Linked DNA regions of Drosophila melanogaster. The protein of the gene in region 1 purifies or fractionates together with the protein of each later gene. This does not show direct contact. Each region holds a gene or a part of one and is shown in the gene's direction. Other genes may lie near its edges. The genes, in order: fabp, CG11771, GstE6 and yip2.

Region 1 (10,740 bases):
CATAAGTGACGAGAGGGGACTGGATCGCTCCCGTGGATTCTCCGGCAGTTCATCGGCTTTCATCGACTGCATGCTGATTGCACTGATTGGAGCTAAATTGCACTATATAGAGTGTAGCATTACAAGTACAGGGGACTTGCTCGGTCACCGGGATTGCCTTTGGACGACGGCGGTTGATTAGCACTTTTCGATACGAAAGGGGACACGCGCTCTATTTTAATATAATTAGTTTGGCATTAGCCGAGGAGAAACCAGATGGAAATGCGAGCGATTTCAGATTCCGATCTACGAATTCGATTTCTATTCACGTTTGCGGGAAGTAAACTTTTCCACTGGCACAATGCAGACTTCAATATTGCGTGGCATTCGGATTGGAAGAAGTGCTGCTGCGAGATCACGGTTCCAAAAAAGATCACTTCACGCGGAGATATTCGGTATTTCTATCTGTTGCAGGCGTATTTCGTCATAGATTGCCTTGTATTTCGTATGTGATTTAGTTCATAGCACATCTTACTTATCGCGAACGTATCGAAGTACACATGGCACTGCGCGCTACTCTACCCACGACTATCTGCTCGCTCCGAAGGTCCGACTCGTTCTGACCCGATCCGCTCTCGGGCTCCACCTTAAATACATGTCACTCTCTGGGTAGGTGTTGTGCCAGGTTAAGATCAGCGCTCTTTGTGGGTGCTCTCCAATGCTCTTGGTGGGCTCTCCATTACACTAGACTCTTTGCCACTCTCTTTATATCGCTCTTTCATAGCACTATTCTCGATCTCTTTTGTTTGTGGGTTATTTGTTTAGTCTTTAGTGAGACTAGTGATAAGCAGGTTAACTTATATTTTCCTCGTTTTGCGCGACACTTTGCAGTAGTAACCAACGTGTAACAATGATACGACACTTTTATGGTGCTGGCAAACATTATTCTAACATGTCCGATAAAGCTGTTGACTCTTTGGACTTTGTAGTTATAAAGTTAGGATCAGATAATAGATGTTGTATCTAAAGTTTTACAAACGCAACAGCTGTTGCACGGTCTCATTATTTGTCCATTCCATTACAAATCCAAATTTTATTATTAACTACTTTACCGCACTAGTTGAGCGCAGCTGTTAGTTGAGGTTTTTTGAAAAGTTGATATTACGATTTTGTGCTGCATACTTTCGGGCTTTAAAGTTTCCGAATGACTAAATGCATGTTTCTTCAACGCAGTCCAGGAATGGCTGCATGCAGTCGAAAAATGGACTGCCAAATGGAATGTGGCCATTAACTCCTCGAAGTCAGCCTGTGTAACTTTTACCCTGCGGCCCGGAACTTGCACAGATCTGACTTTTGATGGAAACAATGTCACATCGCACTGCTACCTAGGAGTTCATCTAAATCGGGGACTGACCTGGAGGGCCCACATCTCGTCGGTCAAATTCAAGTCACTGGCGAAACTAAAAAAGCTCGACTGGCTCTTCCACTCCAGTAAATAATACACATTAAGAAGTATATATATAAAGATATACTGAGAGTATATCATATTTTGTATTGATCAAGACGTTACTTATTATTGGTATACATAAATAATATATGTAGTACATATTATGTACATAAGTATGTTTCGTGGCAAACCCCCGTAATCTCTTTTATTTATGACGATCAATGCAATAATAAGGATGATCGGTGAGGGGGGTGCGGGATCATGGACTAATTGAATTAATAAGATAACGCTTAGCAACAAACAAGTCGGTATCCATGTAGGTGGGCCCTCCCACGGGATGGGCAGGCTTATGGAGATCGTGGGTAATCTCAATATTGCATTGCCTGACCATGGGTGGAAGGAAGTCCTCGATTAGATTACAATTCACCGGCGACTTATCAAGAGTTATTCATAACAATAATATAAACGAATTGTGTCGAAAATTATTTATACACATTGGTAAAATGTAGAAGCTCGGGAGATTCTTTTAATGGTGCCACTGACCCACAGAAAAAAGTCTACTAATTCGGAATATATGGGGGGCGAACAGTCGAGACTCAGAAACCTGGATAACGGATATCCTTTTAAATAAAATATACGTGTGTATGTATGTTAAAATTTTAAATCTTGATATTATATTAATAATAATTTTGTACTACAAAGTGAGATAGTCTGGGTTTCAAATAAATTCCCCTTCCTTACTTGCACACATTGGGTTTCCCAATGCGTAATCTGAAATTCGGAGAAAAGTTTAAAGTTCGCGCCAAAATAGGCAAGTTTTGACTGTATAATGCGAGATACATTGCAGTTCCATTGTCAGCATGACAATGTGGCGTTCGTTATTAGGCCGGTGCTTTTGAACCAATTAAGGCTGCAGCCAATTGATCGCGCCAAGGTGAAGGTGCTTGGGTGCTGGGAGGAGCAGGAGGAGCTGGTCAGACGTTGGGTGGCAGTAACACGTCCGATCCATTACCAATATGCGGTGTGAGGGGGAGTGGTGGCCCCCATAGAACCGTTAATATTTTTTTTGGAGAGCGCCTAAAAAAGCTGCTTTTTGTAAGAGCGCCAACGGCTTGGCGCCGACATTTCGATACCTTGGCGGCTGTACTTGGCTTTGCATCTGGTAATCCGATGCTCAGCCGATGCCACATCATTAAATTTTTAATTTGTGAGACAAACAAAAAGGAAACGTGCAAAAGCCGTGCCGCAGAACGAGAGCGAATCAAATGAGAGCGAGAGGCCATTAACTTGCATCTGGCAATGCCGTAGCCGCAACGCGAAAGTATATAACAGCCGGCACGCCGCAGAGCTTTTCATTCGCTCAGAAAATTTCAACAGTGAACATCTTGTGCAGAACACAGACCAAATATTCCAAAAATGTCTTTCGTTGGCAAGAAGTACAAGCTGGACAAGTCCGAGAACTTCGATGAGTACATGAAGGAGCTGGGTAAGTTGCCAAAACTAATTCGCAGTGCATCAAAAATAGAAAACCAAAGTGCTCGAGAGAGCGAGAGCGGGAGTGGAGGGAGAGAAAAGAAGCCGAAAACACGCCACCGAAAATCGACCGGCCGGCATTTTTCGCACTAGTGTGCAAAAAGTTTCATTGGCCAAACGAGAGGGAAAAAAGTAAATGTCTTCCGGAAAATGTTATATCAACTGAAGATTATGAATGAATTCGACTGTTAAAATAGTTTAGCTACATGCATAAATTGACACCTCATTGAATCTGCTGATGTGCGTATGTGTGTGTCAGATAAAATCAATAGAGAATAGGACCAGAGAAAGAGATGCACATCTGCAGCAATAAAAACGTGCTCCAGTTATTCACCTCACCCTCTTTCTCAACTTTACAGTTGCGAATCGGAGGACAAGCAGTATAAAATCCGTAAATGGTTATCTGCGGTAGTCATAAACCCAAAAACTAATTAAGTGTGGGGCCTGAACTTTGCTCCCCTTTTTTGAGTCACCTCCGTCAGCTTTCCATGGGACCGAAATCATCATAGTGCCATTAGCTTTTGCGACAGGTTTTATCTATTTGTGTACTAGATTTTGGGAGAAAGTCTCGCAGTGAACTTTGCACTAGACTACAAGCTTTATAGCTGCGATGATCTTTGCCCGGCTGTCAATTTAGACAACAATGAAACACCAGATATAAACTACATATAGGACACATTCGACTCTCTTACCGATCAAAGTGCAATTTCTATTGCAATCGTGATTATACTATATGGTGCCACTAAAACTGATCAATACCATCGCTTCCTGTCTAGACGCGCCATAGGGACTAGTGGCATTTGGTAACCAGAGACGGGCGTCCAGATTTATTTACCAGACCACCAGTTCGTCAGAACTTTTCGCCTACACACTTTGCGGCTTCGGTTTAATGGTAGACTTGGTCCGAAAGCCACGTACTTCTCAATTTTCAAGCCCAAACAAATCTAAAATCAACCTGCCGTTGGGGCCTCGCAGCACTTATCAGTTGTCGTACATATATAAATGCGATAAACTATATGCCTATTTATGTACACACATTTGTAGTATATACAATGTCGCAAAAGGCACGATAATTAGGCGCGATTACGGATTTTGCACTTTGGGCAGCCACCCCTATCATAGACCACGGTTCGCAATTGCAGGCCAGTCTAATCTATTCAAGGTTCTCCTGTCATATACGATGCATATAAATCGATCTCTGGTACAGTTGCTGGGTTCCCATGAGTGGGAACCTGGCGACTTATCGCGCCACGCCAGTTGACACTTGACTTGAGGGCACTGGACAAAAGAACAAGTTGGTGGTGGTCCATACATAATTGAACATAATTGATTGGACCACTTGTTGGTTTGATGTCTGACAATGTACTAGATTGGAAATAATACATGTGCCCTATTTGCTGGCACATTCGTAAGGTACCAGTGATTCACACTTTGTTTTTGATTCAACGTTTCATTTGGCGAAACTTCTTTCAAATAAAAATATAAATGCAAAATTACTCATACAGCTACGTGCATGCATATAGTATTTCAGTAATTACAAGTCCCATAAAATTAAGTGACAAATTTTAGTACTTAAACACGATTGATTGTTCACAATCGTTAAGTTATCATTTAATGATGGAATTGCTTTGCTTATCTTTCGATGGTAATTATCAGCACTTCAAAGGTTTACGATTTGGAACGTCAGCAAAATGGATCTTGACCACTTAAGCCAGTAAAATATATATTTACACTGCTTGAATGGCATTTATATTCACAGTTCTGCCCTCAAACAACATATGTATATATGGAATGCTGCACCGAGATAAGGTGGTGCTTTGCCAGATCTATATTTAAATGCATGGAGGGGCTTGCCAATTGATAAGAGCGGAGATGAGGATGAGGGAGGAGACGACGGCCCGCATTGTTCGTTAACCTTGAGCACGACTTTTGACGTTACAGCGGAACGGAATCTGCAGGGAACTTCATGGCTCGGCTTTATTATTTTTAATTAAATATGATATGATTTGCATTGTGAGCGCTTTGGGGTCCCCAACTTTGTTGGGCTAATTCAATTATGTGCAGTCTGCCCCATCATTCATCTTTCGGTGCGATCTTTGATTTCCTTACATTCTCGTGAGATGGAACTTCATTAATTTCTTTTCCCTTTCCACTTGCAGGCGTCGGTCTGGTGACGCGCAAGATGGGCAACAGCCTGAGCCCCACAGTGGAGGTGACCTTGGAGGGCGATACCTACACCCTGACTACCACCTCCACCTTCAAGACCTCTGCCATCAGCTTCAAGCTGGGCGTTGAGTTCGACGAGGAGACCCTGGACGGTCGCAACGTCAAGAGCATCATCACCCTGGATGGCAACAAGCTGACGCAGGAGCAGAAGGGCGACAAGCCCACCACCATCGTCCGCGAGTTCACCGACAACGAGCTGATCACCGTAAGCGCTTACTATACCTTGCCGTATATCATCACACCCACCTAACTGATCCAATGCCTCCCCCACAGACCCTCACCATCGGCAACGTTAAGTGCGTGCGCGTCTACAAGGCCGTCTAAGAGACTGATCTAAAACTATAATATCCATACGACTACATGCATTAAAACTAACTCAGATAGCCAATATTCTTGTTGACTAACAGTGAACTAAACCAAATCAAATGGAACTGCACGCTCTGCCCAATGTTAATTTATAATCGCACCCGTACACCCGCAGTCGGTGTATGTGGGAATACTCCTCGTACTCGGGGACCAATTTCCGAATGCATTTGAATAAACTATTACTTGAAGTGCTTTTAAAACATTCCGACTTTCTTTTACACTTCGCTTTTAAGCTTGTTGTTGCTTAGGTTAATGACGAAATGTAAGCTTAGACACAGCAATCAAAATTATATTAGTTTTAGTTATAAATTTATATTTTGGCATTTTTCCAACTATTTCCCAAATTTACGGTTTTGTGAGTAAGCAAGTAACGTGTTTTCATCGAAATAATTTTAGTTCCTACCTAAAAAAGAATTTTTAAGTGGCTTGTTTGTGAGGCGAACAATGCCAGATATTTTAGTTTGGCTTGAAAGTTATCGTTAAGGATCCCGAAATTCGTAGGGTGTCATATTTTCAATGGCTAAAGGGATCGAGAATACCAAATTCAATTACATTTTCAATTGGAGGTCATATTTTTGAATCGATATGAATTATAAAGTTTCAAATTTCAAACTGTTAAAAGAAATTCCACCTTTGGGGTTATAGAAAGCATGTTTCTTACTATCGTTTCTTATTGTATCGTTTATTGAAGTTGTATGTATAAAGAGAAGAGGCACAAGTCTGAATGGTCTCTGATTTGCTTTTGGGCTGCGGATGTTCTGCCCACGCGTTTCCGTTTCCGTTGCGATGCATTTGCTCTTGCTAATTGAGTATAAAACACAATGCTGCTGGGGCTTTTGCACTGTTCGTGTGAATGGGGTCTGTTGCAAGTGCGTGCCACAAGTGTGGGTGGGTGGCATCTGCTGCATTTGGGGGCTGGCGCAAGCGCACACGTTATCAGCGGACAGTTGGCAGCACGGCCACACTTTCGCCGGGTTTTTTTTGTTAACATTCGTCGTTTGCCGGCGGCGTTAGAACTACGTGTATCCGCATGACGCCGAGTTGCGTCAGTCGGTAAATAGTAGACACTTAATTGTTGGTCAATTGGGCGTTATAAATTAAAAAGCAAAAGCGCCGTTATCGATTTTATTAGTGTAGCACTAAATGCTCTGATAACCTGGATAAAACTACCGCGTGGGTGTGCGTAGGCTACGCGCATTGTGTGTGTGTGAACTCATTGTGTAATCGCTAAAGAAAAAATGTTGGTCTACTTTGCGGCGTACCTAACATTCAAAATTTAAAGTCAAATGTTCTTCTTGTTGTTCTTCAGCGGAGCTTTTCCAGTCCGCCCCAAAAGCTCTGTCCACTTTGTTGTTGCTGGACAAACGGGTTTCCGATTAGAGAGAGAAAGAGAGATCTTCACTGCGGTGTCAGCAAAAAAACGTTACTTTGGCGCTACTCTTCGCACTCTCTGCACAGAAAAAAGTTCTCCATAAAGTAATCGAAACGCACTTATATAGCTATCAAAATACCTTTATCAATGTGGAATCAATCTTTAGAAACTTAATATTCCATTATTAGGATCGAACTGATGTATGTGTATGTTACTCGTTTAGGATCGTTTACTAGATAGATCCACGTATCATTTCTTTTATTTTCAATTTCTGATTGATTTTCAAAATAGAAATATTTTACTGTGTACATTACTGAGCGCGGGGAGAGTGGATACCGCTGAAGTGCTGTTGTTTACAAAACGCCGACCATTGGAATTACAGTGCGCCCCTGATGCAGTGAACTATAGAGAATAGCGTGCTCAGTCTATCGATTCAATTTATTTTACAAAAAGTTTGATATTTAGAAGAATCTACCATTTTAAATCTATTGGGATAGAGTTGTTCGGACTGCTGACTGTTGGATCTGAAAATCCAAAGTCCGTTAGTTCCGGGATGCACTGTATCGCTTTCGCTCGTCGATTGGAAAATGGAATTTTTTCGTAGCCCCGATCAGTTGAGATTCAACCGCTGTCCCCATCGCCACTTCACTTCACCGCTGCCTGGGCTTTCCAAAATTATAATTATTTCGGTTTTTTGAATTCTAATGTGAGTAGTAGAGAACAATACCCGATAGCAAAGCTGCATGAGCAAAAATTAAGCGCGACTTTTGCCAGACAGCAGTGCGCTTTGAGTGTGTGGGTGTGGGCTTAATCAACCGCTTTTGAAGTCTGTGTGTGTGTGTGGAAGTCGGTAGAAACTTTCCAGTGCCGACTTATCAGTGGGTATTGTTTATGTTTATCCAGATTTCCAGACCGATACGGAAATTGGCTTAAACAGCGGCATAAAATGAATAATTATGAACTTGCAACTGTGTGCGATTATAATTTATGGTCATGCAAAAGTTATGTAATCGCACTGAAACAATATTAATTTGTCAAGTGCAAAGAGCGAAACAACCAACGAGCCTGCTGATATTGATATAGTACCGCTCCCACTCAAACCGTCCCAGACTATATCACCCGATCTTAAGTAATCACTATTGAGATTTTCGAACATTTGGTTTTTCGCTCTGTTTGTGTTAGTTTGTCGACTCTTCGTTCACAGTTTTCGAACCTTGTCCCCAAGGTGAAATGAATATGTTTTGGGGGAAAAGAGAGTCAACGATACAATGGGAAGTTACCTATGATAATGGCATTGATTACTAACTTTAAATTGGAGCCCGCTGGAGCCATTCCAGCCAAGTGGAATTCTTTTCCTCATAGAAATTGCATAACTAGTAGAGCAGAACTGCAATTAAACAAACATTTAATACGATAATTAAGGTCGATATTCGCATAGATACGCGGTTCACGATTGTACGTCACAGATATAGTTAAATTGTTTAAATAGATGATAAGGAATACTTCAGATATCATTATCTATGAAGAACAAATGCCATATTTTCATACAAGTTTTGGGGAATATTTTGAAATCCGCGCACCCACGCAGAACGAGTCTATTTTGATCCATTTACAACAATAGGATATAAATAACATTCAATCGGACAGAAATCAGCTGGAATTCACTCAGTACAATAAATGAATTCTACTATTTTCTTTCAGCTAATTCCCCACCTAACACCCAGTCAGCATGGATCGCTCCGCCTTCGCGTCCCTTGTCAGCCCGTACCGCCGACGTCCGTGGATGACGGAGCACGGAGCGGCGGCTGCGGACAGCGGCCAGGTGGGCCTTAAGGGCATCGTCGCCGGCGGTATTACGGGCGGCATCGAGATCTGCATCACCTATCCCACCGAGTATGTGAAGACACAACTGCAGCTGGACGAGAAGGGAGCGGCGAAGAAGTACAACGGCATCTTTGATTGCGTTAAGAAGACGGTGGGAGAACGTGGATTCCTGGGTCTCTACCGAGGTCTCAGTGTGCTCGTCTACGGCAGCATTCCTAAGTCAGCGGCGAGGTAAGTTATATAACTTTTGGTTATAGTTCATGTTTTGCTGATTAAAAGATAACTTTCAGATTCGGTGCTTTTGAATTCCTGAAATCGAACGCCGTGGACTCCCGAGGACAACTGAGCAACTCCGGAAAGTTGCTTTGCGGCTTAGGAGCTGGCGTATGTGAGGCCATCGTGGCAGTGACCCCGATGGAGACCATCAAGGTGAAGTTCATCAACGATCAGCGCAGCGGCAATCCCAAGTTCAGGGGATTCGCCCACGGCGTTGGCCAAATCATCAAGTCGGAGGGCATCTCTGGTATCTACAAGGGCCTAACGCCCACCATTCTGAAACAGGGCTCCAACCAGGCCATTCGCTTCTTCGTACTGGAGTCCCTTAAGGATTTGTACAAGGGTGACGATCACACGAAGCCAGTGCCCAAGTTGGTGGTTGGAGTGTTTGGAGCTATCGCCGGAGCAGCCTCTGTGTTCGGTAATACGCCGCTGGATGTGGTCAAGACGAGGATGCAGGGTCTGGAAGCATCGAAATACAAGAACACTGCCCACTGTGCGGTGGAGATCTTGAAGAACGAAGGTCCCGCCGCCTTCTACAAGGGCACCGTGCCAAGATTAGGTCGTGTGTGCCTGGATGTGGCCATCACCTTTATGATCTACGACTCCTTCATGGATCTGTTCAACAAGGTGTGGGTGTAACTCGGCGATTCGGCTTGGCGACTTAGTTACTTAGTTCATCCTTCTACCCCAAAAAACCCACTCGTGCATTTTCCTCTGTTCCCATTGTTCCCTAGTCGACTGTTGCAATAGTTTCTAGTTTTGTGACATATTCCAAGAAAGCATTTTATATACACTCTATACCCGCAATGGGTAAGTGGCTATAGAAATTATACAGCTTGTTTTAAAAATTGAATTAAATCTGAAGAGTCTATTTGAAGTTCCCATATAAATCATAGCTAGACTGGATGAAATAGGTAAGGCTTTTTGGATTATTTAGTTCGCATGAAAACGTGAATATTTTAATTGGTACTATATAATAGTAAACAGTTTTCTAAGTAAATCTCTAGAATAGATTAGGCTACGCAAACGAGTAAACTTCAGATTAGATCTTTCACCAAGAAAGGGGAATGGGTTAAGAGGTTAAGATTACTTCTAGGCGTTTTATGACAGATTGGCAGAGACTTATCTACGTAATTCACTATTTAGCACCAAGGAGGGAAACATTTGCCTTACAGTCGGACATCTGGCAGACATCTGCTATCTTTAATTGCAACTAACAACGGATAGATTGCTTGCACCATAAATAAGGACAGATTACTCTAGTCTAAGGCATTTTAGCGCACCACATTCAGCGGAATGGATGCGTTCTTGCTGCTGACGATACGTCCCAGCATCTCGTCAAGTGGCGCACCCAGTTCCTGCCAAATGCACTTGCCGATCAGCGAGATTTCCTCCAGTGGCGGTCGGAAAGCCACCAGCAGATTAAGGCATATTCCATCAGTGTTCTCCTGCTCCGAAGCTGAGTGCTCCACGCTAAGTAAGCCATGTGGTCGATGCTGTGGCAGCTCCGCACCAAAAATCTCAATCATGAACTTGCGCAGCGTAGAGTGCAGGCTGCGATTCGGATGCAGTTCGACCGTGGGAAAGTGGTGGGCGTTCTTTTCACTGACCAGGATGTTCAGCGAGTTGTGTGCTCGCTTTCTGGCTACAGCCAGAACCCGCAGATAGTTACGTTTGTGGGCGAAACGTGTGGGCAGTATGGTCCCATGCCAGG
Region 2 (8,060 bases), about 13 Mb from region 1:
TATTGTTCTGGTAATTGTTATATGTGGACTTAGAACAATGAATCAAAACGACATACGTTCTCAGCGACAATGTGAACAAGACGAGCGCCGGCTCTCTTTACAACGCAACAATGCATACTTTTCTTTCGTCTCACCGCAAATCGGTGATCGAGCAACCTCACCTTCAACTAACTCGAAACTTTTGCCCTCAGCGAACGACAGACCGCGTTCTTGCTCTCCCTCTCTGCCTGCTTCGGCTCACAAGTCGTGGAGCGAAGAGACCGCCTCTCCTACCCCGCTCCTCTCGCAGCGCCAAACGACCGTCCCGGGTAACTGTAACACTGCAATAACGAGTGCAGTGACCTCACTGGCAACTGCCACAACATCAACTTCGTCAGCGGCCCAACTAATTATCGCTGTGCCAGCTGTAAATAATTCAGCAGCACTGACCGTTTGCAACAACAATAATGCACGTAAAGAAGAATCAAAACAAAAGCAGAAGTCGATTTCGACTGTGCAGACTGGCATGGATCGCTACATCCAAATCAAGAGAAAGCTCAGCCCTCAAAACAATAAGGCAGGTAATCAACCCAAAATCAATCGAACCAACAACGGCAATGAAAACTCTGCAGTAAATAATTCAAACCGATATGCTATCTTGGCTGATTCTGCGACCGAACAACCCAACGAAAAAACGGTAGGGGAACCAAAAAAGACCAGGCCTCCACCAATTTTCATACGAGAACAAAGTACAAATGCACTTGTAAATAAACTCGTTGCTTTGATTGGTGACAGCAAGTTCCACATTATCCCACTTAAAAAAGGAAATATTCATGAAATAAAACTACAGATCCAAACAGAAGCAGACCACCGTATAGTGACTAAATACCTAAATGATGCTGGTAAAAACTACTACACATACCAATTAAAAAGTTGCAAAGGGCTACAGGTAGTACTTAAGGGCATTGAAGCAACAGTGACACCAGCTGAGATAATTGAGGCTCTGAAGGCCAAAAACTTTTCTGCAAAGACAGCTATTAATATTTTAAACAAAGACAAAGTTCCGCAGCCACTATTCAAAATAGAACTCGAACCAGAGCTCCAGGCACTAAAGAAAAACGAAGTGCACCCAATATACAATTTACAGTACTTGCTACATCGGAGGATCACCGTGGAGGAGCCGCACAAACGTATCAATCCAGTTCAATGTACTAATTGCCAAGAATACGGCCACACCAAGGCATACTGCACCCTTAAGTCCGTATGTGTTGTCTGTAGCGAACCTCATACTACCGCAAACTGCCCCAAAAACAAGGACGATAAGTCTGTGAAGAAATGCAGTAACTGCGGGGAAAAACATACTGCAAACTACAGAGGCTGTGTGGTGTACAAAGAATTGAAGAGCCGCCTAAACAAACGTATTGCCACAGCACATACATACAACAAAGTCAATTTCTACTCTCCGCAACCGATTTTTCAACCACCCCTAACTGTCCCAAGCACTACTCCAACAATTTCTTTCGCTAGCGCCCTAAAATCCGGACTAGAAGTGCCCGCCCCACCGACAAGAACTGCTCATTCCGAACATACACCGACAAACATCCAACAAACACAACAAAGTGGCATCGAAGCTATGATGCTATCCCTACAGCAAAGCATGAAAGACTTCATGACGTTCATGCAAAATACTTTGCAAGAGCTCATGAAAAACCAAAATATCCTGATTCAACTTCTTGTATCTTCAAAATCCCCATAATGGCTTCCCTACGGATATCTCTGTGGAACGCAAATGGCGTTTCACGGCATACACAAGAGCTCACACAGTTCATTTACGAAAAAAACATCGACGTAATGCTACTATCAGAAACGCACCTCACAAACAAAAACAATTTTCATATACCAGGATACTTGTTCTATGGTACAAATCATCCAGATGGTAAAGCTCATGGAGGCACTGGAATACTCATCAGAAATCGCATAAAACACCACCACTTAAACAATTTTGACAAAAACTACTTACAATCTACGTCCATAGCCTTACAACTCAACAATGGTTCAACGACTCTAGCCGCAGTCTACTGCCCACCGCGCTTTCCAATCTCTGAGGATCAATTCATGGAATTCTTTAACACACTAGGTGACAGGTTCATCGCAGCGGGTGACTATAACGCCAAGCACACCCATTGGGGATCTCGACTTGTGTCGCCAAAGGGTAAGCAATTGTACAATGCGCTTACGAAGCCAGAAAACAAGCTAGACTATGTATCCCCGGGTAAGCCTACATACTGGCCAGCAGACCCAAGAAAAATCCCAGACCTGATCGATTTTGCAATTACTAAACATGTCCCCCGCAACATGGTCACCGCCGAAGCACTAGCAGACTTATCATCAGATCACTCACCTGTTTTTCTAAATATGCTAACTCGCCCCCACATCGTCGACCCACCGTATAGACTCACAAATTTTAGAACAAACTGGCCAAGGTATCAAAAGTATGTCTGTTCACACATAGAACTAACGACGGCATTATCTACAAAGGAGGATATAGACAAGTCAACGGAAACTCTTGAAAACATTTTAGTTTCGGCTGCAAAGGCTTCAACCCCGCCAGTGACGTATGCAAAACCAAACTACATCAAAACTAATCGCGAAATCGAGCGGCTGGTATTAGATAAACGACGCCTACGAAGGGATTGGCAGTCTAATAGATCACCAATTACTAAGCACATGCTTAAGATAGCCACACGCAGGCTTACCAATGCTCTCAAACAAGAGGAAAAAAACAGCCAACGTTCATATATCGAGCAACTCTCTCCCACCAGCACTAAGTACCCTCTTTGGAGAGCTCACAGAAACCTAAAGACTCCAATAGCGCCAATTATGCCACTACGAAGTCCCTCTGGCACCTGGTTTCGAAGTGATGAAGAAAGAGCCAGTGCTTTCGCTGACCATTTACAAAATGTATTCCGACCAAATCCCTCTACCAACACATTTATTCTCCCTCCTTTAATAGCAGCCAATCTAGATCCTCAAGAACCCTTTGAATTCCGACCATGTGAACTAGCAAAGGTTATCAAAGAGCAACTGAACCCAAGAAAATCGCCTGGCTACGACCTAATAACTCCAAGAATGCTCATTGAACTCCCAAAGTGTGCTATTCTTCACATCTGCCTGTTGTTCAACGCAATCGCCAAGCTTGGATACTTCCCTCAAAAATGGAAAAAGTCGACCATAGTAATGATTCCAAAGCCAGGAAAAGATAAAACGCAGCCATCATCATATAGACCGATAAGCTTACTAACATGTCTTTCAAAGCTGTTTGAAAAAATGCTACTCCTTCGGATTAGCCCTCATCTTAGAATAAACAACACACTTCCAACACATCAATTTGGCTTTAGAGAAAAACATGGAACCATCGAACAGGTCAACCGAATCACGTCAGAAATTCGTACTGCTTTTGAACATCGAGAATACTGCACAGCCATTTTTCTAGACGTCGCGCAGGCATTTGACAGAGTGTGGCTCGATGGACTTTTGTTTAAAATAATCAAGCTGTTGCCCCAAAACACACATAAGCTACTGAAGTCATACCTATATAACAGAGTGTTTGCAATAAGATGCGATACAAGCACTTCACGCGATTGCGCAATCGAAGCTGGAGTGCCGCAAGGCAGTGTACTGGGTCCAATCTTATACACCCTGTATACGGCGGATTTCCCCATAGACTACAATCTAACAACCTCCACGTTCGCTGATGATACCGCGATACTCAGTCGCTCGAAATGCCCAATAAAAGCCACGGCACTCCTATCCCGACACTTAACATCTGTAGAACGATGGCTTGCCGACTGGAGAATTTCAATAAATGTTCAAAAATGCAAGCAGGTTACCTTTACCTTAAACAAACAAACATGCCCACCACTGGTCTTGAATAACATATGCATTCCACAAGCCGACGAGGTAACATATCTGGGAGTTCATCTGGACAGGCGGCTCACTTGGCGCAAACATATAGAAGCCAAATCGAAACATCTTAAACTTAAAGCAAGGAACCTCCACTGGCTCATAAATGCTCGCTCTCCACTTAGTCTGGAGTTCAAAGCTCTTCTATACAACTCCGTCTTAAAACCTATCTGGACTTATGGCTCCGAGCTGTGGGGCAACGCATCCAGAAGTAACATAGACATTATTCAGCGAGCACAGTCAAGAATTCTGAGAATTATCACTGGAGCGCCGTGGTACCTTCGGAACGAAAACATACACAGAGACCTAAAAATCAAATTAGTAATCGAAGTAATAGCTGAGAAAAAAACGAAGTATAACGAAAAGCTGACCACCCATACAAATCCCCTCGCAAGAAAACTAATCCGAGTATGCAGTCAAAGCCGGCTGCACCGCAACGACCTCCCAGCCCAGCAATAAACTTATTAGGGCATTAATGAAAAAAAAAAAACTATCACTAAGTGAAAGTTAATTAAGTTAGATTAAGATTTGAACACTTATTGTTAGTCTCTTAACACAAAGGGAAGATTCAATAAATAATAAAAATTAAAAAAAAAAAAAAAAAAAAAAAGAGAAGTCACAGATTAGGATAGATTGGATTCAGTGACTGCAGTAAAGTGTGATTTTCGCATCACTGCCGGCTCCACCGCTGATGGTGGCAACCCTGGCCGCTGTCACTTGCTTTTTGGTCCAGGCGTGTTGTGTAAACGCTGGCCCCCATTTCAGAATCCCAAATTCCGGCGCAAACTGTCCGGAATTGTACATATCTGGATTAACGACTTCACCTAGGACATGCTAAATCTCCTACGAAGGCGCCCAACGTCGGTGCCCCTCATCCGGGCCGCGCTTAGCGCTCCGCTGCACTCAACGGAAAACCGGCCGGGTTACATAGTGCTGTAAGTACGAAAATTACCCGGATTCAACATGTGGAGTCACTAAACCTATCCCCGCAGGGTACCGGAGATCGGTGAGGAGGGACCGCTAGGCGAGGGCGTGCTCAAGCCGGACGGACTTCCCGCCTTCAGTGACATCACCATCGAGATGTGCTTGGGCGCCATTGGTCAGCAGGCATCGGCGGTGGAGAACTCGGTGAAGGCGCTGGAGAGCGACCTGCACAGTGGCAAGCAGCTAAATGCCGCCAGCATCTTTCGGGAGCTGGACACCGTGACGGGTCCACTGGAGACGACATGGGGTGTGGCCAAGGCTCTGTACCTGGGCAATTCTACCCTGATACCCACCAAATCCTACATGAACATCCACGAACGAGCGCGTAACGCTCGGGCAGCGAAGTTCTGCAATCAAACGGTGTATAAGGCACTCAAGGATGCTTCGTCCGATTCGGGTCCAGATGAGCAGAGGATGCGACAGAAGTTCCTGCTCGAGGGCAAGCTGAACGGGCTCACGCTGGACAAAGATAAGCAGGATGGACTGAAAGAGCTGCTTACCCATTTGGGTCGAGAGAGAGCCAACTTCAAGAACAAGGTCAACATGGCAGTGCACTCGTTTGGACAGATTATTACGGACTTCAATCTTGTAAGAGATTTCCCGCCTTCGCTTCTTGAGGCAACAGCCCGCGATCCCGGACAACCTATGACGGGTCCTTGGAAGATAACCCTACAGCCTCAAGTGGTCGATGGTTTTCTAAAGCACTGCCCAGAGCGAATGCAGCGTTGGAACGTCTGGAGGGCCAGTGTGCTGAAGGCATCCTCGCAGCAGGAAAAATCCCTGGAGAACAGCACACACATCGAAAAAATACGCGGTTTGCGCAAGCGACAGGCAAATCTGTTGGGCTATGAAAGCTTTGCAGACATGTCCATGCAGACCAAAATGGTGGGCAGTGTGGACAACCTTAAGCAGATCTTTGCCAAGCTTCTCAAGTTCGCCGGCCCTGCTCAAAGTGTGGAGCTGGAGAAACTACAGGGCTTCGCTCAGGACAGTGGCTGTGAATACAAGCTGGAAGCCTACGACGTTGCCTACTGGCGGCGCAAGCAACTGGCGGCGGAGCACGGTCTCCAAGATCAGAAGCTCCGCGAGTTTTTCCCACTGCCCCGCGTTCTTTCCGGCTTGTTTGCGCTGAGTGAAAAGCTCTTCGGCATCAAAATAGTTGAGCAGCCCAATGCGGAGGTGTGGCATCCGGCAGTTAAGTTCTACGATGTGTTCGATGCTGATTCCGTCAATAGCTCCACCCCGGTGGGTGGCTTTTATGTGGACTGCTATTCCAAGGAGCACAAGTTCGGCAGAAACAATGGTTGGATGGTGGGCATACGGAACAGCAATAAGTCTGCCGGGCTGACGCCTCTCTGTGCGCTGATATTTAACTTTTCGGAGCCACAAAGTCCGGATGCCAAGCCCCCGCTTCTTGGATACGATGATCTGCAGATGCTCTTCAAGACTTTTGGAAGCGGACTCCAACACCTGCTCACCCAAGCGGGGTACAGCGATTTGGCGGGACTCTCAAACATCGAGTGGGATGCCTCTCAAGTGTCCGGTCATGTGATGAGCAACTTCCTCGACGATCCCACAGTGATTCGAAGCCTATCCGGACACTTTAGCAGCGGTGAGCCCTTGGAGGCTGAGCTTTCACAGAAGATGCGATTGCTGAAGACTCAGTTGGCTGGCTATAATCTGTGCCAGGACCTCTACCTGGCGGATCTCGACGTGGAGCTGCACCGCTCGAATGCCTTCTGGCTGGAGGTGGTTCGCAAGCTGTGGCCGGTTTATCAATGCATGCCGCTGGACAAGAAGGACGCACATCCGTGCTCCCTGACCGACATTTTTGCCGGAGATTGGGCGGCCGCCCAGTTCAGTCACTTGTATTCCCGCCTCATAGCCGCCGACATTTCGAGCAGCTTTGCTGAGCAGCGAAGCGAAGAGAACTACGCGGTCGTTGGCCGGCGCTACAAGCAGACCTTCCTCAGCTGCGGCGGATCTGTGCCCACGGCGGAAGTGTTCCGTCGCTTCCAGGGTCGCGACCCGTCGGCCGAGGCACTTCTAAAGTCGCTGGACATATTTGAACCCTCCCAGACCACAGATAACAACTGAGGGTCGCCCTCTGTTCCGCTAAAACGTTATCTATTGTGTGTAGTCAACAAATGCTGATCGATGGCAGCCTGTGGAGGCCCGACGAGTGGCAACCTTATAGGAAAGTAAGCATTGGAGTATTGGAAAATATTTTAAAATAGTTTTGAAATGTATTCTGTTAAATATTTGTTTATTGGTCAAGATCCCACTTGTACTTATTTAAAAGAAAGTATAGCCGTAATTGAATGACCCCAGCCAGGAAACTGAAAACCAAAAACGATTGATAAGGGCTTTATAAATTTTGGAAGTGTAACTATTAAAACAAGAATTCTATACTTTACGCCTCCACGATTTATTAGTCGGCAATTCGATCTACACCCTAATTGGCAGCCGGATGTGATAGCGATCGCGTGAGTCAGGCGGGATCTTATCGCAGGTGTGCAGGTGGTGTCGCCAGGCGACATCGTCAGTTACCCCAGTTGAACACACATACACACACACGTTGTTGCTTTATTTAAATAATACTTTAATAATAAATTGCATAAATTTATAACATTTAACATATTCTCTCGCTTCTTGCTCGGTTCTCTCGATTCGGTTCGATATATTTATATACACAACAAAGGCGAAGTATGCATTCAGCGGAAAGGAAAAAGACATCTAGGGGTTTGGATGGAAACCGAGGATTAAGAGCTATCATCTGTCTTGGCCTTCTGTTGGAAAGCCACTAGAAATGGTTAACCGGTAGTCAGGAAGAAATAATCAAAGTACATTTCGACGCAGGGGTATGGATTAAACTTGGTTAGTTTACAGGAATTAATTTATATATATATATATATATAAATATGCTCTAGATCAAAGTGTGGTACTACAATATGCGTATGTGCTGCTCCGAAATCAGTCGGAGCGTGTCCCGCTGTGGTGTGTTAGTTGTGTGTGGAGGCTGGATATCTGAAAACTTTAGAATATTCGCTAAGGCTGCTATGTGTGGTAGTGGCTGCAGTTGCTCCCTTGGCTGCTCCGTTGGCTACTGCTGTCTAGTATATGTCCGGACAGCC
Region 3 (5,993 bases), on another chromosome or scaffold:
GAATATGATACATTTACGCAAAACCAAGGCATGTTGTTTAAAAAACTCTCAAAGTATTTTATCAAGAAAACTCAATGGAAACAATTTTCTCGTACTTTGGTCCCAAAGTCCCAAACGGATCGGTTTCTTTCTTTGGAAGTAGTCTCCGATGCACTGAGCTTAAGCCCATGTGAAATACTCACCTAACAAATCCTTGATGACAAATTGAGAGACCAATTGGAGACCTTCCTGGCGGACAATCCCTACATAACCGGGGAAACTCTGACCGTTGCTGATTTTTGCTGTCAATCTCTGCCAGCTTTTGTTCCCCTGGAGTCGGATAAGTATCCGAAGGTCACCGCCTGGTTGAAGGTGTTGCCCAGGAGTTGCCCTACTACGAGGAAGCCAATGGGGTGGGGGCCAGGAAGTTCGTGGACTTGCTGAAGGGCAAACTGAGCCTTCTATAAGAAGCATTTCCCACAATTATCGAGTTGCTGCATAAATTTTTAATACTCTGCTAATTAAAGAAATTTGTTGACAAACGTTTGGCATTGACCACACTCGAAGAAAAACCCATGTAGCAGCAATGAAATGCATTAAATACACAAGTTTCGTAAAATGTTTTAAGCACGATATAATCAAAAATATTATTAACTTTGCTATGGCGGTAAACTCTAATACGAAACTCAAATATTGGGCCATATGGACTAACGTCCTTATTTTTACGCCAACTCATTGCTGCAATTTAAGTGTAAATAATTTAATTTAAAAAAAAAAAATGTTTCCTGGGGACGTGGGTTTTTGGATTCCGCTTGTATGGTTGGTTGGGGTGGGCGGACTTAATTAAAAATCCATTGACAGCTTGGCAGTTTCCCAGGGCCGGCAGGTTAGCTATATAATCGTCCTGCTACCGTACTGACCACTCACTTGTAAGTTCGCTGGAGAATGGGTAAGATATCGCTATACGGCCTGGACGCAAGTCCGCCAACACGGGCATGTCTGCTCACCCTGAAGGCACTGGATCTGCCCTTCGAATTTGTGTTCGTCAATCTGTTCGAGAAGGAGAACTTTAGCGAGGACTTCTCGAAGAAGAATCCACAGCACACGGTGCCACTGCTGCAGGACGATGATGCCTGCATCTGGGACTCCCATGCCATCATGGCGTATCTGGTGGAAAAGTACGCGCCAAGCGATGAGCTCTATCCCAAGGATCTGCTGCAGCGTGCCAAAGTGGACCAATTGATGCACTTCGAGTCGGGTGTCATCTTCGAGTCTGCCCTAAGGAGACTCACCCGTCCGGTGCTCTTCTTCGGCGAGCCCACCTTGCCCCGCAATCAGGTGGATCACATCCTTCAGGTCTATGATTTCGTAGAGACCTTTCTCGATGATCACGACTTCGTGGCCGGCGATCAGTTGACCATAGCCGATTTCAGCATCGTATCGACCATCACCTCGATTGGTGTTTTCCTGGAGCTGGATCCGGCCAAGTACCCTAAGATTGCCGCCTGGCTGGAGAGGCTTAAGGAGCTGCCCTACTACGAGGAGGCCAATGGCAAAGGAGCTGCCCAGTTCGTGGAGCTCTTGAGGTCCAAAAACTTCACCATAGTTTCGTAAGCACTAGTCTTGATTTCGACAGTAAATGGCTTAACATTTTAATTGGAAATTATCGCTTTCACAGAATTGATATTAGCAAACAAAAAAAAATGTTCTTTGTTTTGTGTTCAAATTATGCAATTAAATAGGCAAAGCACCCCCCTAAAAGGTATTGTTATTACTTTTAGTTACCTGTGGGCTAGTTTGCCTGGTGGTTAGTTTATCTGGGGATTAGTTTCTGTATTTTTCCATTGTTCTATAGAAGTTGTTGCATGACATACAATACCTTATCCACTTGTTCGAGGTCTTTAACATGTTTACTTGAATCATGGCAAACCAACTTGATAGCTTGTTATCAACAATCACGAAAGTATTATTTGAGTGAGTCAGTTCTAGATTGTTTTCACGAAAGTACTTAAACAATTTCGATTATCGTTCGACGAACCGTTAGACCGTATCAAATGATTGCATAATTTAAGCAGAACAGTATCTACAGAATTTGTAATTACACAAATTTTTAATGTTTCATTGAAACTTATGTTATTCTCTACACGAATCAACTCTTAAAGGACCAATCAACAAGAACCAACAAAAATTCTCTTAGAAATGTCTCTTAGCCATGCTCTCTTAACCTTTCCATTTGGTAACAACATTTGTACGCGCTCGATCCCAAGAATCAGTCAGTAGAGAACGTTAACTCAAAGTGCAAACATGGTCAAGTTAACTCTATATGGTGTGAATCCCAGTCCACCAGTTCGTGCCGTCAAACTCACTCTGGCTGCCCTCCAGCTGCCCTATGAGTTTGTAAACGTTAATATTTCGGGTCAGGAGCAGCTTTCTGAGGAATATCTAAAAAAGAATCCAGAGCACACGGTGCCAACACTGGAGGATGATGGTAACTACATTTGGGACTCGCATGCCATTATCGCGTATCTGGTGTCCAAATATGCAGATTCGGATGCCCTGTATCCCAGAGATCTGCTCCAGCGAGCTGTGGTGGATCAACGACTGCACTTCGAGACAGGAGTGGTTTTCGCCAATGGCATTAAGGCCATTACCAAGCCGTTATTCTTTAATGGCCTGAACAGGATTCCCAAGGAACGCTACGATGCCATTGTCGAGATCTATGACTTTGTGGAGACCTTCCTCGCTGGACATGATTACATTGCTGGGGATCAGTTGACCATTGCCGATTTTAGCCTGATCTCGTCGATTACCTCGCTGGTGGCGTTCGTGGAGATCGATAGGTTGAAATATCCCAGGATCATCGAATGGGTCAGGCGTTTGGAGAAGCTGCCTTACTACGAGGAGGCCAATGCGAAGGGAGCCCGGGAGTTGGAGACCATTCTAAAGTCCACTAATTTCACCTTTGCAACCTAGAGTTCTGAAATTATAATAAATAATTTGGAAACTTGTAAATATTGCGGTTTTTTATCTCTTTATATTTTAGATTTAAGAGAAATATCGCTGTAGGAAACAAGAGAACTTAGTTAGTTCCATTAAAGTAGCAAGAGAATGAAATGTGTATTAAGTACACAGAGAACCTATTACAGAATGTCGCTACATACATAGATAATATATATATTCTTGCCGGCAACAAACATTTTCGAGGGCTTTCCATTTTATTAACCTCTGTCAGCATGACTTGTATTTTCTGCCCGAGTACTGTGTAATCATTTTCACATATGATAAGCGGTTATCACAGAATACTTGTTGTTCTATGTTTGTGATTCATATAGTGCTCTCATATGTTCGCGCTAAAATACTTTTAATCAGTTTTTTTTTTATTTTAGATGTTGGGATAGGTTAAAAATAAACATAAAAAGAAAAGTAAAGTGAGTTCAAAAGAGTAGGAGGATACTTAAAAATTTGGGTTTGTATGACCAAAGACACTAGAATATTCTAGTATGACAAAGATATACATATGTATGCATGATTAGACATATATTCACATTCATACATATTATTATTGACTTGTAAAGTGCAGTAAATATAGAGATTTTTTCAAGTACACGGAATCTCTCTTAAATTTTCTCTTTCATTGATCCCAAGTTTTGTATATTATATTAGTTATTCGGCAGTTATGGGTTAGTTTGAAAAGAGACCCCACAGCGACAAGATGGTGAAATTGACTTTATACGGTTTGGACCCCAGTCCCCCAGTTCGCGCTGTTAAGCTTACTTTGGCCGCTCTAAACCTAACCTACGAATATGTAAACGTTGACATTGTGGCTCGTGCCCAACTTTCACCGGAATATCTGGAGAAGAATCCACAGCATACGGTGCCCACCCTGGAGGATGACGGTCACTACATCTGGGATTCGCATGCCATTATTGCCTATTTGGTCTCGAAATATGCCGATTCCGATGCCCTATACCCGAAAGATCCTCTCAAGCGGGCTGTTGTGGATCAGCGGCTGCACTTTGAATCCGGAGTGGTCTTTGCCAATGGCATAAGGAGCATATCGAAGTCAGTGCTCTTCCAGGGACAGACGAAAGTACCCAAGGAGCGATACGATGCCATTATCGAGATCTACGATTTTGTGGAAACTTTTCTCAAGGGACAGGATTACATTGCTGGCAATCAACTGACCATTGCGGATTTCAGTCTCGTTTCATCGGTGGCCTCCCTTGAGGCCTTCGTGGCCTTGGATACGACTAAGTATCCCAGGATCGGTGCTTGGATCAAAAAGCTGGAACAGCTTCCATACTACGAGGAAGCCAATGGCAAGGGCGTCCGCCAGTTGGTGGCCATTTTCAAGAAGACCAATTTCACATTCGAAGCATGATATTATTTTACAGTTTATATAGTCACAATAAATAATTGCTTAGAAAACTCTAGAGCTTTTGAATTTTTGTGGTGAAATAATTGATTTGGACACAAATGAATAGAAGAGGCGAGAGCAAAAACCTAACTGACTTTCTTATCTACTGCTCTCGCTTCTCTTAATTACTCTCTTTCGAAATTCTATAAATATAGTGACTCTTCGCTGTTGACGTTTAGTAATAGACGAGACTCTACCCAGCGACAAGATGCCCAAATTGATACTGTACGGCTTGGAGGCAAGTCCACCAGTTCGTGCCGTCAAATTGACCTTGGCTGCCCTGGAGGTTCCCTACGAATTCGTGGAGGTAAACACTCGGGCCAAGGAAAACTTCTCTGAGGAGTTTCTGAAGAAGAATCCACAGCACACGGTGCCCACGTTGGAGGACGATGGACATTATATCTGGGACTCACATGCCATTATTGCCTATCTGGTGTCCAAATACGGCAAAACGGACAGTCTCTATCCGAAAGATCTCCTCCAGCGTGCTGTCGTGGATCAGCGATTGCATTTCGAGTCCGGAGTGATCTTCGCTAATGCACTGAGAAGCATTACCAAGCCACTTTTCGCCGGTAAGCAAACGATGATTCCCAAGGAGCGTTACGATGCGATTATTGAGGTCTATGACTTCCTGGAGAAATTCCTTGCTGGAAATGACTACGTCGCCGGCAATCAGCTTACGATTGCCGACTTTAGTATCATATCAACTGTGTCCTCGTTGGAGGTCTTCGTAAAGGTGGACACGACCAAATATCCTCGGATAGCTGCATGGTTCAAGAGACTCCAAAAGCTGCCCTACTACGAGGAGGCCAACGGCAATGGTGCTCGTACATTTGAGTCCTTCATCAGAGAGTATAATTTCACTTTCGCATCGAATTAAATCATCTATACATGCTGCTAATATATATTAAACACTTTATAAATAAAATAATCGTACAGTACAAAAAATAAACAAATAGAAAATATACATATAAAAATACTAAAGAGCACCTCGCCAGGTTTTTGTCAACTCTCTTGCGAAAATGTGTCTCTTTAACGTTCTCTTTCCAAATCAAATAAATATGGCGCCTCTTTGGCTTCTACTTTTAGTACTAGGCTCAACCTCTAGACGGCATGTCCAAGCTGATTTTGTACGGGACAGAGGCTAGTCCTCCAGTTCGGGCCGCCAAATTGACCTTGGCCGCCCTTGGCATTCCCTACGAATACGTCAAAATAAACACCCTGGCCAAGGAGACCCTTTCGCCCGAGTTCTTGCGGAAGAATCCCCAGCATACGGTGCCCACTTTAGAGGACGATGGCCATTTCATCTGGGACTCACACGCAATCAGCGCATATCTGGTGTCCAAGTATGGCCAGAGTGATACTCTTTATCCGAAAGATCTCCTCCAACGCGCTGTGGTGGACCAGCGATTGCACTTCGAGTCCGGCGTGGTCTTTGTCAACGGACTGAGAGGCATCACCAAGCCGCTCTTTGCGACCGGTCAGACGACGATTCCCAAGGAGCGTTACGATGCCGTCATAGAGATTTACGACTTTGTAGAGACTTTTCTCACCGGACACGATTTCATTGCCGGTGATCAGTTGACCATCGCGGATT
Region 4 (7,401 bases), on another chromosome or scaffold:
ACATCTTTCTTAAGCCGTCTGAGTACAAATGGCTTCATGATACGCTTTGCTCTCTGGATTTGTGTTTCCTGGAACTGTGAAACCTCATCCTGATCTCCATCGCTTTTTCCCTTCTGCAAGGAACATGAAGTTTATATATTGTTTTGTGTGAAACCAATCTTTGTTTTACCTTAGCAAACAACGATTTTATGTCCTCAATGCTCTTGGCAAAGAATTTGGGCATCACGAAGCAGAGCAGAGAGATTAGCTCCAGCAGATTGTTCTGCAGCGGAGTTCCAGTGAGCAGGATTCGCATCCTAGCGTTTATGGTTATAAGGTTAGCATAGCGTTGCGTGGTCATGTTCTTCAGCATATGGGCTTCATCAAAAATGACGTAGTCCAACTTGCAAACCCGGAACATTTTCCTCTCCTCCGGCGTGGATCCCACAATGTGATATCTGTTCAAAATGTACAAGAAATTTAAGCTTAGATTCTTTTATGGCTTTGTGGATATTTACGTGGTCAGAAGAACATCAAAGCCGGTAAATCCATCCTTGGCAAAGCGGCCTCGCATTCTCCTTCGCTCGTCCTGCGAGCCATGGTACTTCTCCACCACCAGTTCGGGACACCAGCGGCTAATCTCTGCCTCCCAATTATCCAGCGTGGACGAGGGCACCACAATTAAATGTGCAGCCTGGCTAAGACCATTCTCCTTTAGATAGGCCAGAAATGCAATAACCTGAATTGTCTTGCCCAGACCCATTTCATCTGCCAAAATGCCATTCATTTCTTGTTTGTGCATTACGGTGAGCCAATTAAGGCCAATTATCTGATAATCAGCCAGCTGTAGACTGCAAGAGGAACGAAAATAGAAACACAAATGGGGACATGCATGCTGGTTAAGGCTCACCCGCTGCTAAGAAGCTTAGGTTGCTCCACAATGCCAGCACCATTGGAAATCGCCTTCTCCAGACGCGACACCATGTTATTGCACTTACTTAGAATAGCGGCCACCGTGTTCTGTTTGTTAATCAGCTCTTGAGCGTAATTCAAAAGATCACCCGACATCCTGATGCTCTCCAGCTTTTGGCGCAAATCAGACCAATCACTAAATGGTCGCACATCAATGATGGCTAATGCCTTCTTCTCGGACAGCGTTTTAACTGACTGGAGTTCAATTAGCGAAGCCTCGTTCATAAACTGGAAAACTTTTTTACGTTGCCCCGTCATCTTGGTGGACATCTCGCTATCGCTGTCATCGCTATCATACACCTGGTCCTTGGACTGCTTCACATCATCGTCGTCCGAATGGTCGTTATCCGAGAAGTTGCCTCCACTAATTCCGTTTGACCTGGGTTTCAGCTTGGACTTGGCCAGTGGTCCATTGTGCCCCTTGGGCTTGCAGTTCTCCCTTAGGTATCGCACGGAAGCGGCCACATCCCAATTGGTGCGGGAAAGAGACTCCTGGATGGCCTACGGAACATATTTGAAATTTATTTCAGTTAAAATCGAGATTTATGCAAAATATTGCATTAAAAATGAGCAATTTTAAGCTATAAAATATTCTGATTAATTTTAAAATTCAAATAAGAACGGTGATAATGTCCGGAAATATTTTATATGAGGCACACCAAAGTAGTGGAAACAGTTACACGAGAGGGTTATTACTGCTCCCATCCCCGTCAGTGACGCCCCTGGCTAACGACAGCTGTTCGCAACGCCGGGCCGAACCGAATCGCCATGTTCCCCGAACTCAGATGCAGAGACGCGCGTTTCCCCGCGAATCGCCCCGTTTTACCTTGGTGGCATTTCGGCCGGAAACCTACCATTGTGTCAAAGTGGGGCGAAATCTTGGCGGCTGCCATGTAGCGCTCCTCCTTTTCCTTAACGGTCAGCTCCAGTTTGGTCTTCTTGGGCGTCTGGGAGTCGTTGCCATCGCTGTCACTATCGGCCATCACCTGGATGCGCTTCTTTCCAGGCACACGCTCTGAAATCAGGCAGTTAGCTACCGTGTCAATCGCTTGGAATTTTAGCTCAGCAAGTACCAGTTCTCGAAGGACTAGCGACGACAGAGGAAGCATTCTTGTTGATGCGGAACTGACGCAGATCGCTGAGGCTCGACTTCGCGGACGATGAGGCGGAGGCCGACGCAGATGCGGCCACTGTGCTGTCCGACATCGTGGGACAAGGCGAAACGCTTCCTGGCAATCTGTCAGTCCTTATTAACAAATTCTGTTTGCAACTCCTACAATCTTAAGTTGGTATTTGTGAATATTCGCATGCTAGTGCGGCCGTTTGATTATCCCGATAAAACCTATTTCTATTTCTCCAACGGAATGCGGTCACACTGTGCGCCAATTTAAGTATTAGCTTAATGATTATTATTATTTTTCATTTATTTTTATCGAACTGTAACGCATTAGTGTAAGCTTCTATGAGATTATCTAACAATTTGCTTTTGTATATATCGTATATGATTTGATTTCGTCAACCTAACCGTAAGTAATTAAAACCGATGCCAAAATGAAAGAAAGAAACTTAAAAAAATCCCAAACTGGCGGTAAATTAAGAAAGTTGCCAGAGTTGCCAGATGTTATCGGCTTACCGCAAGCAATCGGCCAACAATCGAAACATTGGGACGCGTTGCAACCCTCTCTTTTTTTCGCTTGCTCTTGTAGGTTAATTGAAAACACTTTTATTGCAAATAAACCGCTTGCCGAGCCAAGGGCAAACCGATAAACTGGCAAACATGGCTGGCGGCAACACCCCGCGTGTGATCCAGGTGACCAACATAGCGCCGCAGGCCACCAAGGACCAGATGCAGACGCTGTTCGGGAACATTGGCAAGATAGAGGAGATCCGCCTGTACCCGACAATCCGTGATGTCTCCTGTCCGGTGCAGTCGCGCATCTGCTATGTGAAATACACGGACACGACCAGTGTGCCGGTGGCCCAGCACTTGACCAACACGGTGTTCATCGATCGCGCCCTAATTGTCATACCCGTTCTGGCCATACCCGAGGAGTATCGGGCCCTGGAGATGCTCAAGAACGGAACCATTGTGCCGGGACTCCAGAAGCCGGACTCCAAGCTACCGCCCGAAGTCATTAACCGCATCGAGGGACAGCTGCCGCAGCAAGTGATCAAGACGTACGACCCCAAGTTGGTGGAATTCAATCTGCCGGAGTACCCGGCCTTACCCTCGTTCTACGATGCGCGCAAAATCGAGGAGATTCGGCGCACCATTATCGTGTGCGATGTTAAGAACGAGTGGCGGCTAGACGATCTGATGGAATGCTTTCAGCGCGCTGGGGAGGTGAAGTATGCCCGTTGGGCCGAGAAGGATAACAAGACGTACTGCATGATTGAGTTCTGCGAACAGACCAGCATTATTCACGCCCTGCGCATGCAGGGCCAGGAGTTCAAGGGTGGCCATCTAAGCGTCTACCACTCCACGTATTCCATAACCAAGCCGGAGGCAAAGTCGAATGAGGCAGCGCAGGCTGAGATTGAGGAGGCCATGACCATTGTGAAAGAGGCGCAGAGTATGATCTCAGCGGCCATTGATCCGGTAATTGGAATGCTCGCTAAGGACAAGCGCCGCAGGTCGAGATCACGGTCCCGTTCCCGGGACCGTCGCACCAGTCGATCCCGCTCGCATCGTTCCACATCGAGACGCCGTTCCAGGCGTTCCGGTTCCAGAGAGCGACGTAGTGTGTCCCGATCACGCCGCTCTAGGTCGCGTGGCAAGCACTCGTCCCGTTCTCGCAGCAAGCGCTCAAGATCACGACACCGTCGCAGCTCCTCACGTTCCAGGAGATCACGCTCCCGTGGCGGCAAGCACTCTCGCTCCTCAAGGTCGCGTGGCAAGCGCTCCAGGTCCCGCCATCGCCGCAGCACCTCACGCTCACGTAGCTCGCGTTCCCATGGCACCGGTGGAGGAGGCAGTGGCAACGGCAAACGTTCCCGATCCCGCGAGCGCAGCAAGAAGTCACACCGCAGCGAGAAGCACTCTTCACGTTCTCCCCGATCTAGAAGCAAGCGCAGCTCTCCCTCGCCGCCGCCAGCTACCGGCAGTAAGTCACGGTCCAGTCGCAGCAAGGATCCGGTCATCGTTTCCGCCAAGTCATCCCGGCGGCGCGACCGCTCCCGTACTCCCGAAACTCGCAAACTCAAATCCATCTCTGAGGACACTGAGGTTAAGAGCTCACGATCCAGCGCCGATTCGAAGTCACGCAAATCGGTTAGTGTCGAGAAGTCGGACAACATGGACATCTCCAACTCGCCCTAGACCTAGAGAGATTGCATACTACTTTATAATAAATACAGAACTTAAGCAACCCCGTCTCCAGTACAACCCGACACCCATTGTCCTCAATGAGATTTGTATTTCACTCAACTCTGTCATAGTTTTCAAGTATAAAGTCTAATTAAAACTGAAGCATTTTCTTTCGTAATGAAAAAAATAGTACATACAAATATGAATGATATCGGTATCATAGCAGTACAATTTTTTTTAATTTTTTGCCAAGTACGGATTGTTTATTTGGAAACTATAACAATCTTATTGTCTTCTTATTAGGAAAACCCAATACAAATGCAAGTTAAATTAATAAAAAACTTTCTAATGAAGACCAACTTTAAAACATTGTATGATCAACATTTTGTAAGGAGTACTTAAGTATGCAAAATTGCTTTGATAAATATACATTAAGAACGCATTAAAGAGACTTGTATTTAAAAACTAGAGGATTGATTGAGTTTCATCAAAAATCGAAATTCAGCGATGGTGACTAATCGTCACTAAGAACAAAGGAAGGAACAAACTGCAGCTAATTTTGCACAGTGTATTCTACAGCTGTAATCGGTGGGCTTGTCTCACTTTGTTTGTCAGAGAGCGGGGTAAAGCTTTTCGAGCTTTCATCCAATAATATGTCGGCGATGGCGGCGAATCGCGACCAGAAGTCGAAAGTTATTGCAGTGCGATAGTCGCCTTTACTTGCATTAATTTATTTGTTGTTTTATTTAAGAGTGAACCCACCTTAGAAAATGTCTGCCGCAACCAAAGGTAATTATGTGAATCCTTTAGGATATGCCTATGCTGTTGGAAGTCTAGATAAGAGATGATCTCGCTAGAGAGATCTGAACTTTGGACTCGTTGGTGTCTTATCTGATGCTATCCCCCCCCCCCGCGTCCAGCCGGTTGCACTTTGGACCTGTTGAATCGAAAACAAAAATCCGCCTTCGTTCGAGCTAAATTTGTGCTATCACTACGCACATTATATATGTTATACATATGTTCGTATGTTTCTTCTCCTTTGTAAAGGTATCTATATTGTGGCTGCCAAGCGTACGGCCTTCGGAACCTTCGGTGGATCCTTGAAGGGCATCAACCAGACCCAATTGCAAACCACGGCGGCCAAGGCTGCCCTGGATGCTGCCGGTCTTAAGGGTGAGCAAGTGGACACCGTCATCGTGGGAAATGTGATCGCGGTAAGTTGGATTGAAGATCCTAAAATAGAAACTCTTAAGGCGTCGGATTAAAACAATATTAAGATGTTATTAAACTAAAAGAAATATGTAAATGTGATAAAATACTTGTACATCTGGTTATGTAAATTAATTTACTCGATATTTATTTGTTATTATTGCTTAATTGCAAACTCAGTAGATCAAAAACTGGAACTACATGCTTATATTATGTTTTTTTGTAACTTGTAAGTCTTAAAAATCTCTTCTCTTCCACTTCGCAGTCCTCCTCCACCGATGGTATTTATGTGCCCCGTCATGTGGGTCTCAACTGCGGTGTGCCCATCGAGAAGCCCGCCCTTGGAATCAACCGGCTTTGCGGTTCCGGCTTCCAGTCGATCGTAAACGGAGCCCAGGACATCCTGGTCGGCGGTGCCAAGATAGCCCTTACCGGCGGCGTGGAGAACATGTCACAGAGCCCTTTCATTGCCCGTAATGTGAGATTCGGAACCACCTTGGGTGCCAGCTACAATCTGGAGGATGCTCTATGGGCTGGCCTCACCGATACCTACTGCAAGCTGCCCATGGCTCTGACCGCTGAGAACCTGGCCGATCAGTACAAGATCAGTAGGGAGCGTGTGGATGAGTTCTCTCTGCTCTCGCAAAAGAACTGGGAGAAGGGTCAGAAGGAGGGAGCATTCAATGCCGAGATCACACCCATCAAACTTAAGGTCAAGGGAAAGGAAGTGGACTTTGTGGTGGACGAGCACCCACGTCCCAAGACCACCATCGAGGGTCTGAACAAGCTGCCTTCGCTGTTTAAGAAGAACGGCGTTGTGACTGCCGGAACAGCATCCGGAATCTGTGATGGTGCCTCCGCAGTGATCGTGGCCTCCGAGGAGGCGCTTAAGGAGTACAACCTGAAGCCTCTGGCCCGTCTAGTGGCCTTCTCCTTTGTCGGAGTCAAGCCTGAGATCATGGGCATTGGCCCAGTACCCGCCATTCAGAACGTCCTGAAGGTTTCCGGCAAGAAACTGGAGGATATTGATCTGATTGAGATCAACGAAGCCTTTGCTGCCCAGACATTGGCTTGCGCCGATGCCCTGAAGTTGGATACCTCCAAACTGAATGTGAACGGAGGCGCCATCGCCTTGGGCCATCCTCTGGGTGCCAGTGGCTCTCGCATCACTGGTCATCTGGTTCATGAGTTGCAGTAAGTTTCCGTGGAAATTTACAACCTGTCATAAATTGATAATTATATATTTTTTCCAGGCGCAAGAAGCTAAAGTACGGCATTGGATCCGCGTGCATTGGTGGTGGTCAGGGCATCGCCCTTCTCCTCGAGGCTGTCTAATCCTACAGCTTAATGTAATAGGTGCCCTGCATTTACACTTAAATTAGTGCTGAAAATTCCGTTTTAAAAATACCCCGATAGCAATAAAGAAATTATTTTATCTTTACAATTTATTCAATCAGCAGCGAATGGAAGTTGATCAGCTTTCTACAAGAAAGACAAGTTGGTGTTTATACTATAAAATTTCTATGCTCGCACTGCTGGAAACGCCAATGGGACGGGGGTTGGCGGATGAAGGACCAGCCCGCTGTACCAGGAAATCTCTTGAAGGGCCTTACATTACGAGTACATGAACATGGGATGACATGGCTGCACATTCGCTCAGTTCGTCTGTGCGCTGGTGGAGAAGAGCGACAGAGCGCCGCTGGCGATGCCCACGGAAAAGATGTAGTTGATGAACGGCGTCGAGTTCTTCAGGATAAAGAAGCTGATGAAAATGATAACGGCCAGGTAGATGGCGTTGTTGTAGAAGATGGAGAAGGTGGTGGCCTCGTAGTCGGCTACCTCGTTCTTCTTCCACAGGATGCGCTCGTCCTTTTCCTTGCGCGTGACCTTCTTGTCATCGCCCACCTGACGGTTGACCTCGCGGGTCACCGCCT

The links.
Region 2: the proteins of fabp (region 1) and CG11771 purify together in Drosophila melanogaster (affinity purification with mass spectrometry, with the first as the bait; one large-scale study listed by BioGRID). This does not show direct contact.
Region 3: the proteins of fabp (region 1) and GstE6 purify together in Drosophila melanogaster (affinity purification with mass spectrometry, with the first as the bait; one large-scale study listed by BioGRID). This does not show direct contact.
Region 4: the proteins of fabp (region 1) and yip2 purify together in Drosophila melanogaster (affinity purification with mass spectrometry, with the first as the bait; one large-scale study listed by BioGRID). This does not show direct contact.

Annotation. Positions count from the first base shown.
Region 1 is NT_033777.3:11,559,090-11,569,829, reverse strand, and holds fabp (fatty acid binding protein), read left to right. Parts: upstream 1-2,775; 5' UTR 2,776-2,842; coding exon 2,843-2,912; intron 2,913-4,718; exon of another isoform or gene 4,719-5,015; coding exon of another isoform or gene 5,016-5,046; intron 5,047-5,118; coding exon 5,119-5,390; intron 5,391-5,458; coding exon of another isoform or gene 5,459-5,509; exon of another isoform or gene 5,510-5,772; intron 5,773-6,537; exon of another isoform or gene 6,538-6,730; intron 6,731-7,533; exon of another isoform or gene 7,534-7,629; intron 7,630-8,624; coding exon 8,625-8,756; coding exon of another isoform or gene 8,757-8,978; intron 8,979-9,037; coding exon of another isoform or gene 9,038-9,665; 3' UTR 9,666-9,934; downstream 9,935-10,740. Other genes in the region: Mrp4 (multidrug resistance protein 4), read right to left, coding at 1-72; sea (scheggia), read left to right, coding at 8,653-8,978, 9,038-9,665; CG10898 (uncharacterized protein), read right to left, coding at 10,301-10,740.
Region 2 is NT_033777.3:24,927,360-24,935,419, forward strand, and holds CG11771 (uncharacterized protein), read left to right. Parts: upstream 1-4,650; 5' UTR 4,651-4,773; coding exon 4,774-4,877; intron 4,878-4,934; coding exon 4,935-7,023; 3' UTR 7,024-7,560; downstream 7,561-8,060. Other genes in the region: Osbp (oxysterol binding protein), read right to left, coding at 8,040-8,060.
Region 3 is NT_033778.4:18,402,351-18,408,343, forward strand, and holds GstE6 (glutathione S transferase E6), read left to right. Parts: upstream 1-3,660; 5' UTR 3,661-3,691; coding exon 3,692-4,360; 3' UTR 4,361-4,411; downstream 4,412-5,993. Other genes in the region: GstE4 (glutathione S transferase E4), read left to right, coding at 925-1,593; GstE5 (glutathione S transferase E5), read left to right, coding at 2,284-2,952; GstE7 (glutathione S transferase E7), read left to right, coding at 4,605-5,276; GstE8 (glutathione S transferase E8), read left to right, coding at 5,510-5,993.
Region 4 is NT_033779.5:9,910,320-9,917,720, forward strand, and holds yip2 (yippee interacting protein 2), read left to right. Parts: upstream 1-4,933; 5' UTR 4,934-5,028; coding exon 5,029-5,047; intron 5,048-5,305; coding exon 5,306-5,472; intron 5,473-5,732; coding exon 5,733-6,661; intron 6,662-6,720; coding exon 6,721-6,802; 3' UTR 6,803-6,901; downstream 6,902-7,401. Other genes in the region: Etl1, read right to left, coding at 1-113, 170-437, 498-830, 890-1,452, 1,806-1,966, 2,025-2,157; Srp54 (splicing regulatory protein 54), read left to right, coding at 2,729-4,270; CG5885 (uncharacterized protein), read right to left, coding at 7,124-7,401.